3 linked regions of the Saccharomyces cerevisiae S288C genome follow. The gene in region 2 interacts genetically with the main gene of each other region. Each region holds a gene or a part of one and is shown on either strand. Other genes may lie near its edges.

Region 1 (3,912 bases), on a different chromosome or scaffold from region 2:
TAGGTTTAGTTCATAAACGGGTTTATAAACATGACCGCAAAACTGATGTCGACCGAAAAAATCATGGAGGAACTATCGACATCAGTTATCCTACGACAGAAGTGGTTGGCCATGGTTCATTTGGTGTTGTAGTCACGACTGTAATAATTGAGACCAATCAAAAAGTTGCCATAAAGAAAGTACTACAAGATAGAAGATATAAAAATAGGGAGCTCGAAACTATGAAGATGTTGTGCCATCCAAATACTGTGGGTCTACAGTACTACTTTTACGAAAAGGACGAAGAAGATGAAGTATACCTCAATCTGGTTTTGGACTACATGCCTCAGTCGTTATACCAAAGGCTTCGTCATTTTGTTAATTTGAAAATGCAGATGCCGCGTGTTGAAATTAAATTCTATGCATACCAACTATTCAAAGCTTTAAACTATTTGCATAACGTTCCTCGAATCTGTCACAGAGATATAAAACCGCAAAACCTACTGGTGGATCCGACAACTTTTTCTTTCAAGATTTGCGATTTTGGCAGTGCCAAATGCTTGAAACCGGATCAGCCTAATGTGTCTTACATCTGTTCAAGGTACTATAGGGCTCCCGAACTCATGTTTGGTGCCACTAATTACTCAAACCAGGTCGACGTGTGGTCAAGCGCTTGTGTCATTGCTGAGTTGCTTTTGGGCAAGCCCTTGTTCTCTGGTGAAAGCGGTATAGATCAGTTGGTGGAAATTATTAAGATAATGGGCATACCCACAAAGGATGAAATTTCAGGAATGAACCCAAATTATGAAGACCATGTTTTCCCCAATATCAAGCCCATTACTTTGGCTGAAATATTCAAAGCCGAAGATCCCGATACTCTTGACTTGTTAACAAAAACTCTGAAGTATCACCCTTGCGAAAGATTGGTACCTCTACAATGTCTATTATCAAGCTATTTTGACGAAACCAAACGTTGTGATACCGACACTTACGTAAAAGCACAAAACCTGCGTATATTTGACTTCGACGTGGAAACTGAGTTGGGCCATGTTCCACTTGTGGAACGGCCCGCCATTGAAGAACGGTTGAAACATTTTGTTTCTGCACCTTCATCGTCTTTGTGATATATCTCATCCTTCAAATTTCTTAGTCTATTGTATCATTACTATTACATAATATGCATTTGTCTTCTGCACACAGATACACAGCGTATGCAGTTAACCTAACGTATAACGACCGTCCTCTTTCCTTCATTTAATTTCACTTGCTGCTTTTCTAGGCAGCGGTCGCCCAAATTTTCACCGGCCACAAGCGTATGACTGCATATGCAGAACCTTGGCAACTGTAAGAACTCCTATGTTTCTTTATTGCAAACAGTTGCTAAAAGCACTCACATAGAAGAAAAATTGATGAAACTTGCGATGCATTGAACAAATTTCCCTTTCTTCATACTTTACGGCATAGTAATCTTTGAACCTTTTGGTAAGCACCAAATTCGTAATTCATTATCGATATTGTGTAGAAAAGAGTAAAATATAATAAAACGAAAAAAAAAAGGTTTGAAAGAACATAACTACTAAAACGCACCGTCGTCATTCTGAAGATGAATTCTAGCTATACACAGAGATATGCACTGCCGAAGTGTATAGCAATATCAGATTATCTTTTCCATCGGCTCAACCAGCTGAACATACATACCATATTTGGACTCTCCGGAGAATTTAGCATGCCGTTGCTGGATAAACTATACAACATTCCGAACTTACGATGGGCCGGTAATTCTAATGAGTTAAATGCTGCCTACGCAGCAGATGGATACTCACGACTAAAAGGCTTGGGATGTCTCATAACAACCTTTGGTGTAGGCGAATTATCGGCAATCAATGGCGTGGCCGGATCTTACGCTGAACATGTAGGAATACTTCACATAGTGGGTATGCCGCCAACAAGTGCACAAACGAAACAACTACTACTGCATCATACTCTGGGCAATGGTGATTTCACGGTATTTCATAGAATAGCCAGTGATGTAGCATGCTATACAACATTGATTATTGACTCTGAATTATGTGCCGACGAAGTCGATAAGTGCATCAAAAAGGCTTGGATAGAACAGAGGCCAGTATACATGGGCATGCCTGTCAACCAGGTAAATCTCCCGATTGAATCAGCAAGGCTTAATACACCTCTGGATTTACAATTGCATAAAAACGACCCAGACGTAGAGAAAGAAGTTATTTCTCGAATATTGAGTTTTATATACAAAAGCCAGAATCCGGCAATCATCGTAGATGCATGTACTAGTCGACAGAATTTAATCGAGGAGACTAAAGAGCTTTGTAATAGGCTTAAATTTCCAGTTTTTGTTACACCTATGGGTAAGGGTACAGTAAACGAAACAGACCCGCAATTTGGGGGCGTATTCACGGGCTCGATATCAGCCCCAGAAGTAAGAGAAGTAGTTGATTTTGCCGATTTTATCATCGTCATTGGTTGCATGCTCTCCGAATTCAGCACGTCAACTTTCCACTTCCAATATAAAACTAAGAATTGTGCGCTACTATATTCTACATCTGTGAAATTGAAAAATGCCACATATCCTGACTTGAGCATTAAATTACTACTACAGAAAATATTAGCAAATCTTGATGAATCTAAACTGTCTTACCAACCAAGCGAACAACCCAGTATGATGGTTCCAAGACCTTACCCAGCAGGAAATGTCCTCTTGAGACAAGAATGGGTCTGGAATGAAATATCCCATTGGTTCCAACCAGGTGACATAATCATAACAGAAACTGGTGCTTCTGCATTTGGAGTTAACCAGACCAGATTTCCGGTAAATACACTAGGTATTTCGCAAGCTCTTTGGGGATCTGTCGGATATACAATGGGGGCGTGTCTTGGGGCAGAATTTGCTGTTCAAGAGATAAACAAGGATAAATTCCCCGCAACTAAACATAGAGTTATTCTGTTTATGGGTGACGGTGCTTTCCAATTGACAGTTCAAGAATTATCCACAATTGTTAAGTGGGGATTGACACCTTATATTTTTGTGATGAATAACCAAGGTTACTCTGTGGACAGGTTTTTGCATCACAGGTCAGATGCTAGTTATTACGATATCCAACCTTGGAACTACTTGGGATTATTGCGAGTATTTGGTTGCACGAACTACGAAACGAAAAAAATTATTACTGTTGGAGAATTCAGATCCATGATCAGTGACCCAAACTTTGCGACCAATGACAAAATTCGGATGATAGAGATTATGCTACCACCAAGGGATGTTCCACAGGCTCTGCTTGACAGGTGGGTGGTAGAAAAAGAACAGAGCAAACAAGTGCAAGAGGAGAACGAAAATTCTAGCGCAGTAAATACGCCAACTCCAGAATTCCAACCACTTCTAAAAAAAAATCAAGTTGGATACTGATCTGATCTCTCCGCCCTACTACCAGGGACCCTCATGATTACCGCTCGAATGCGACGTTTCCTGCCTCATAAAACTGGCTTGAAAATATTTATTCGCTGAACAGTAGCCTAGCTTATAAAAATTTCATTTAATTAATGTAATATGAAAACTCACATGCCTTCTGTTTCTAAAATTGTCACAGCAAGAAATAACATTACCATACGTGATCTTATTAAACTCTAGTATCTTGTCTAATACTTCATTTAAAAGAAGCCTTAACCCTGTAGCCTCATCTATGTCTGCTACATATCGTGAGGTACGAATATCGTAAGATGATACCACGCAACTTTGTAATGATTTTTTTTTTTTCATTTTTTAAAGAATGCCTTTACATGGTATTTGAAAAAAATATCTTTATAAAGTTTGCGATCTCTTCTGTTCTGAATAATTTTTAGTAAAAGAAATCAAAAGAATAAAGAAATAGTCCGCTTTGTCCAATACAACAGCTTAAACCGATTATC
Region 2 (3,469 bases):
CCCTCTCCGGCTAACCCGGTGAGAACCCACGGGCCCAATGCCGTCGTAAGTGACGCATCTATCGTCGCATTAAAGTGAATAACTGTAAAACCCTGGAATAGTATTTCGTTCAGGGTTCGTGTTAGTTCCAAGCTATTGACGACTTCCATGTCGTCATTTTCTAGATCAAATTGAAGCTTCATCTGCGTATTTCCTGTGTCCTCATCGTGCAGAATGTGCGATGAAGAGTTGATCCATTGCTTCATGGGTAAGTTTAAGAAATTGATGTCGTTATGGTACAGATCGATCTGTCCCCGAATGGTATCGATGCGAACTCGGTCTTGCTGGTGCGTCTCGTAGAAGGATAGATCAAAGAATCCTAAAAATGTCCCCACAAGACTGAGCTTTTTGCGCGCTGCCCACCGTAGCTGAAGATCGTTGATCTGAAACTCTTGAATCAATTCACTGGAGTTAAACGTAGCATTGGTAGTAATGGGAATAAACGATGCTTCTTGGAAAATATCCTCCAGCATGTCTGCTGGAATCAATGAGTTATTATCTATACCATCTTCAAGGACATGGCCTCTTGCTGCGAACGTAACAGTCTCGTTCTGGTTCAGGACCGCATTCACTATTTGGCTCATTGGTGTAAGACTATTTTGAGGACATTCTTGGTATAGTAGTTCATCGGGCAGAGGACCTTCAATTTCATTTTGTAAACAGACGACGATATTATCCTTGTCGTGGTGCAGATTAATCGGTTCGTTAAAGCAAGACAAGGTTGGAATTGCGATAGCAGGCTCACCGTTACAGTCCGGTAGCTTGATTTCCCAATTGATGAAAGGGATTGACGTGCCTGGCGGAAGGTGAAGCCAGTCCACCCCTCCAAGAATCGTGATCGGATTCAGTCTCATATCGGCATGAAATCCATCAGAACTGGAGTCCCGCAATGTAAATCCTTGAAGAGATATTCCATCGATCATATTTTGAATCATCCGAAGGGGCGTTGCCGATATTTTTTCCCAATCAATAATATCTTTCCAATCTAAGATTTCGTCATTAAGTTTCAATAAATTAAACCTCGTGCCAAATTTTCTCTTGAAGATAGTCATATCTAAATTCGATTTTATATTTAAGGATTCAAAATCCCTATTCCAAAATTTTTTCAAAACTTTTACGATTTTCCAAATAGACGGTTTAACTAAAATTTTGAACTGTAGGTTATTAATCTGTCGGTGAGCCAAATTAAAACAAATGGGTTCCATGCCAACAACATCTCCCAGTTTATTCTTGAACACTAGATCTCCATCGAATGTGGTCACGTTATTCAGATCTATACAAATGGTTTTAAGAACTTTTTCATTGATGTACCGTATCCAGTCACGTTGGCTTCTGGCGTCCGAGTCATTTTCCGTTCCTGGCCATTTGTCATAATCGAACCAAATTTGAGAGTGTATAGACACCTGCAAATACTTACCTGTATCATTGTTCAGGTCAGAGCCCATATTATCTTTCCAACCATCAAGCTGAAACTCCACCAGTTTGAAATTTGTTACTTGAACTAGATTCTTTTCTATCACATCTGTGGGCGGCACATGTCCCCTAATATACTGCACTATGCTGACGCCAAAGAAACTTAATAAAACAATACCTAGCAGATATATAATTAAGCACTTTATACTCCGCCAACGAGATTTAATAAGGGTCTCATTTGCAACGTTGATTCTCACTTCATCATTGAGGAGTTGGCTTTCTTCAGTGTTTGGTCTCAACAGTGGTTGAGTTTCTAGATCTTGGTTATCCGCTCGTAAGGGTGAGTTAGTGTGCATCTTAAAAGGTTCAAGGAGTAATGCACTACACTAAGCAATAAAAAATCCCAAAAACAGGAGGATCTTGTGTCTTCTTCCCCTAGACAGTTCATCTTTTTGATTCTGGGCTTCGCATTTACCTTTAGAGAAAATTAAATAACCCCATGCATGCGATTCTAAAAAAAAGTTAACTAAGCGATGGGATGAAATTTTTTTCTGGTGGTTGTTAGCAAAGTAAAAACGAACAGGATATAGAGTGAATAAAGGACAGTGAGAAAAATGCTTTATTTGATCGGACTTGGTCTCTCGTACAAATCAGACATTACCGTTCGTGGTTTGGAAGCTATTAAGAAATGTTCTAGAGTTTATCTAGAACACTATACCAGTATCCTAATGGCTGCAAGCCAAGAAGAGTTAGAATCTTACTATGGTAAAGAGATCATCTTGGCTGATAGGGAATTAGTTGAGACTGGTTCTAAGCAGATCCTAAATAACGCCGATAAGGAAGACGTTGCTTTCTTGGTCGTGGGCGATCCATTTGGTGCCACCACACACACAGATTTAGTTCTCAGAGCTAAACGTGAGGCAATTCCCGTCGAAATTATTCATAATGCGTCCGTTATGAATGCAGTTGGGGCATGTGGCCTACAACTATACAATTTCGGTCAAACCGTTTCCATGGTTTTCTTTACCGATAATTGGAGACCAGACTCATGGTACGACAAGATCTGGGAAAATAGAAAAATTGGCCTTCATACTTTAGTGTTATTGGACATCAAAGTTAAGGAACAAAGCATTGAAAATATGGCCCGTGGCAGACTAATCTACGAACCACCAAGATACATGTCTATCGCTCAATGTTGTGAACAATTATTAGAAATTGAAGAGAAAAGAGGTACAAAGGCATACACTCCTGATACTCCAGCAGTCGCAATTAGTAGATTAGGCTCGAGCTCCCAAAGCTTTAAGTCTGGTACCATAAGTGAGTTAGCCAATTACGATTCAGGAGAGCCACTTCATTCGCTTGTCATCCTCGGCAGACAATGTCATGAATTGGAGCTGGAATACCTGCTAGAGTTTGCCGACGACAAAGAAAAGTTTGGGAAAGATGTGGCAAATGACCAAGAGTACTTCAAACCTGCGGCATGGGTCCCACCCACAGAAGACGACAGCGACGAGTAAAGGTAATGCACACGCTCATGTGTAGTTTCTTTTTTATAATGTATATTGAATAGATCCTTTCAGTCGGGTAACAATTCGATCCCAAACGAATCGGGCCCTAACGATATGTGTAAAAATGGCAATGAATGAACAAGAAGTTATAACAACAATTTCAGCCAAGAACAAGAGCGATCCTGGAGGAGATTATATACGGATACACAGGTACACAAGATGACGCAATTAAAATATTTGTTGCTGGTTTCTAGGCAAGGAAAAATCAGATTAAAGAAATGGTACACGGCAATGTCCGCTGGTGAAAAGGCAAAAATTGTGAAAGACTTGACACCTACGATATTAGCAAGAAAACCCAAAATGTGTAACATCATCGAGTATAATGACCACAAAGTAGTATACAAGCGATATGCTAGTCTATATTTTATTGTTGGGATGACGCCCGATGTTGACAATGAACTGCTGACCTTGGAAATTATCCATCGGTTTGTCGAAACAATGGACACATA
Region 3 (3,242 bases), on a different chromosome or scaffold from region 2:
AATGTTTGTGGAATCATTACTATCATCGTCATCATTATCATGTGTTATTTCATATGTTTCTTTTATGTTAATTGGGACATCCTCAGGAGCCTCTATATTGTCCAATTCCCAGATTCTAATTTGAGATTTATTCTTACTAGCTATCAACAACCATTTATTTTTGAAGTCTATATTAATGATATCACTAGACGAAAACGGCTGTTCTGAGTCTTGTAATAGGTCCACATCTGAGATCAAAGATGCGCTAGAAATAGAGAACAATTTCAAATGGAAACTCTTTTCAATAACAAGGAGTTTGGACGTCGAAACCCAGAAAAATTTCATAATGTCGCTATCTTGCCCTAAAGATATTTTCTTTAAGAGTTTGGAATTCAAGTTTGCGTCCACTTGGTGTATTTCTAACGATTTGGTGTCTGCATCATAAAGTGCCATACAGTCCCCGTAGGAGCTGATAATGTCGACTTTCGACAATTCCGAGTGTATCTTGGATATTGTTTCATTATTTTCACGCTTGTTGGCTGTGCTAAACAAAGATTTCACTTTGGTTGGTGATGGTGACTCTGAAGGACCTTGCTTTGGATTGGGTTTGGTGTCCAAGAGGGCATTATTTAAAATATCCATCCCATTTGTCTTCGCACTGCCCTCTTCCTTGGGAGTATTCACGTTCAGTTTCTCTAAATCGTGCAATTCAGAACCCGCTTCTCTGCTATTTAATGACTCTAACTGATTGACCGTGTTAGGGCCTTTCAACAAATAAATTATTTCCTTCACATTTTCTTGAACAGCTAGCTTAGACTGCAGTAATGAATCAGGCACATGTTTTTCTTCCTTTTCACCTTCAGGAGAAACAGCTTTCGATTGTATTTGATTCAATTGATGCTTCAAATCTCTATTTTCGCCCTCTAGTTCTGCAATTCTTGCTTTCATTTCCGACCTTTCTAGCTCCCAGGTGATTCTATCTCTTTCATTCTTCGTGAACTCCGTTTGCAAGTAGTGCATTACACCAGGTAACGTGTAATGCGGATGAACATGTGCCTGGTTAATAGCCATATTGTTTTCCGGTCTAACTACACGCACTTACTTCTTTTGGGTTTCTTTATTAATGTTGTTGCTTGCTCCTCACATTTAGTCGTTCTAGGTGGCTTTTATCTAAGATTACGCGACGGGGAAGATCGCAAAGTTAAGACCAATAGAGTACTATACCATATCCCAACAAAGAAGCCTAGGGGATGGTGCAGCAGTAAAAACTGAATAGACTATAATAGATCATCCTACGTAAAACCCGAATAGGTTATCTCTTAAACCTTGTTTTCCTGTAAAGTTGTCCCGCGCATGTGAAGACGCAGAGAGTGGAGATCAATCTTAAAACAACTGAAGCAACTAGCACTTTCTTGACATTTAATAAGGAACTATTATCGCGTAAACCAAAAGAAACGCATGTAAAACATCTGCAAGTTACTCCATCATCTGACACCTAGAGACGTACGTATCAGAACGATTTGAGTGGAGGGGTACAAAAAGGGACTCTGTAGATCAAAAACTGTAATATTATCCTTTTTTTTACTTTCTGAGAAGCTATTCGAAAACAAGGAGATAGAACTACAAGCAGTTATGAAGGACCTAAATCCAGAAATGGGGAAATTTGCTACCACTAAAGGCCCTCCTCAAGACAATAGAGGCATGGTTGATATAGCGACACTGCCTAATTTTCCTGCCAACCGTAGTGGGACTCCTCGTGAGGAGATGTATCTGGCGCCCAACAAGATGGAAACTCCAAGGATACTTAATATGAATATGGTACCGGATTATTTGCAAAAAGAGAACTTCTCGCCAGATTTTTCTTCTGCTACCGTATCTGCCAAGTCATCTCCTGTCAACGTTACTCATGATGAGTCGCTTCCTCTGGGAACTATTGAATCGAATAGCACAAAGGATTCTAAATATGCAGTTCAACGGCAACAGCAACAAGTGGTAGATTTCATAGAGAATAATATGCAGCTACTGTCTTCAGAAACACTAAATTTTAGATCAGACATTATGAAAACTTTGGAGCTTCCCATTCCCAAGAGAAGAGATATTAAGGGAAACCATCTATCTAAACTATTATTTGCTAAATCACCTCTAACTATCAACACATATTGCCAATTTTATGACCGTAGAACCAAGCGAATTTGCAATCAAGAAATGATATGGAAAGATAAGAACAGTAGAGAGAAGCATGGTTCTAGAAAGTATCAAAGACATTTGAGTAAAGTTCACGATGTCCAGCTAACACCAAATAATTTTACCGAATTTTTTGATCATAATTCTCCACTTTTCCAGGAATGCTATGACTATCAATCTAGATTGATGCGTGATTTACTTGTTGAACCAGATGCCAAATTCAAAGAGAAGAAAAAGAAGAAAAAAGGGGACGTCAACGGAAATCATCCTGAAACCGGATCGAGCCTCATCAACCACCAGGTCCAACAGCAAAATGTTCGAGAACTTCAATCGAAAATAGCCATGAACGACTTGATAGAGATTCTTATCGATTTAAACATTCCGTTTTCTGTTTTAGACTACCAACCAATGAGAAATTGGCTCATCAAATATTCAATAATTTCAACAGATACTTTGCCGGATGAAGTATACTTCAAAACTGATCCAGGCGTGAATGAACTGGAACACAACAGTAGTAATTTAAACAATAGCAATAGCGGTACTCCTCATAATCATAATCAAAACCAACATACCAATTAATTAAAACTTGCTTTTAATCTGCATACATAAAACTTAGATCAAATAAATAAAAAAAAAAGTAAAACAACCATATATACTATTTCATAAGCAAAAGTAATCAAATTAAACAAAAAAAAGAAAATACAAATATTAAATTTAAATTAAGGCAATAAACATATATTATACACATAAAAAGAATAATTAAAGCGCAGATGAGAACTATCTTAATTATCAAAATTCTGTAGTATCCCACTCAACTGTTCAATATCTTAGCCGCACCATTTCTTCGTTATCTAGGCTCACTAGCAATTATTTTTTCTCTTGATTACTAATTGCATCCTGATCGTCTTCGATCGAAGAACCCTGTGAAAAGCCACTAAATGTATGTTCCAAACTATCAGGGCTAACTCCCAATGATTTATTGTTTCCTGCTTTCTGTGAAACCGAGATTTCTTTTGAATGCTCCGCTGATTTACAATCATTAGCGTCTTCTTTTCCACTTGATTTATTTCCGATCGAAA

The links.
Region 1: mutations in DPH5 (region 2) and THI3 together harm fitness more than expected from each alone (negative genetic interaction), as found in Saccharomyces cerevisiae (2 studies listed by BioGRID).
Region 3: mutations in DPH5 (region 2) and RSF1 together harm fitness more than expected from each alone (negative genetic interaction), as found in Saccharomyces cerevisiae (2 studies listed by BioGRID).

What each region holds. Positions count from the first base shown.
Region 1 is NC_001136.10:310,142-314,053, reverse strand, and holds THI3 (branched-chain-2-oxoacid decarboxylase THI3), read left to right. Parts: upstream 1-1,582; coding exon 1,583-3,412; downstream 3,413-3,912. Other genes in the region: putative serine/threonine protein kinase MRK1, read left to right, coding at 10-1,103. UniProt on the Saccharomyces cerevisiae protein: One of five 2-oxo acid decarboxylases (PDC1, PDC5, PDC6, ARO10, and THI3) involved in amino acid catabolism.
Region 2 is NC_001144.5:500,760-504,228, reverse strand, and holds DPH5 (diphthine synthase), read left to right. Parts: upstream 1-2,066; coding exon 2,067-2,969; downstream 2,970-3,469. Other genes in the region: TAG1 (Tag1p), read right to left, coding at 1-1,808; APS1 (Aps1p), read left to right, coding at 3,180-3,469. UniProt on the Saccharomyces cerevisiae protein: S-adenosyl-L-methionine-dependent methyltransferase that catalyzes four methylations of the modified target histidine residue in translation elongation factor 2 (EF-2), to form an intermediate called diphthine methyl ester.
Region 3 is NC_001145.3:329,182-332,423, forward strand, and holds RSF1 (Rsf1p), read left to right. Parts: upstream 1-1,611; coding exon 1,612-2,742; downstream 2,743-3,242. Other genes in the region: FAR8 (Far8p), read right to left, coding at 1-1,050; EIS1 (Eis1p), read right to left, coding at 3,031-3,242. UniProt on the Saccharomyces cerevisiae protein: Mitochondrial and nuclear transcriptional activator required for respiratory growth.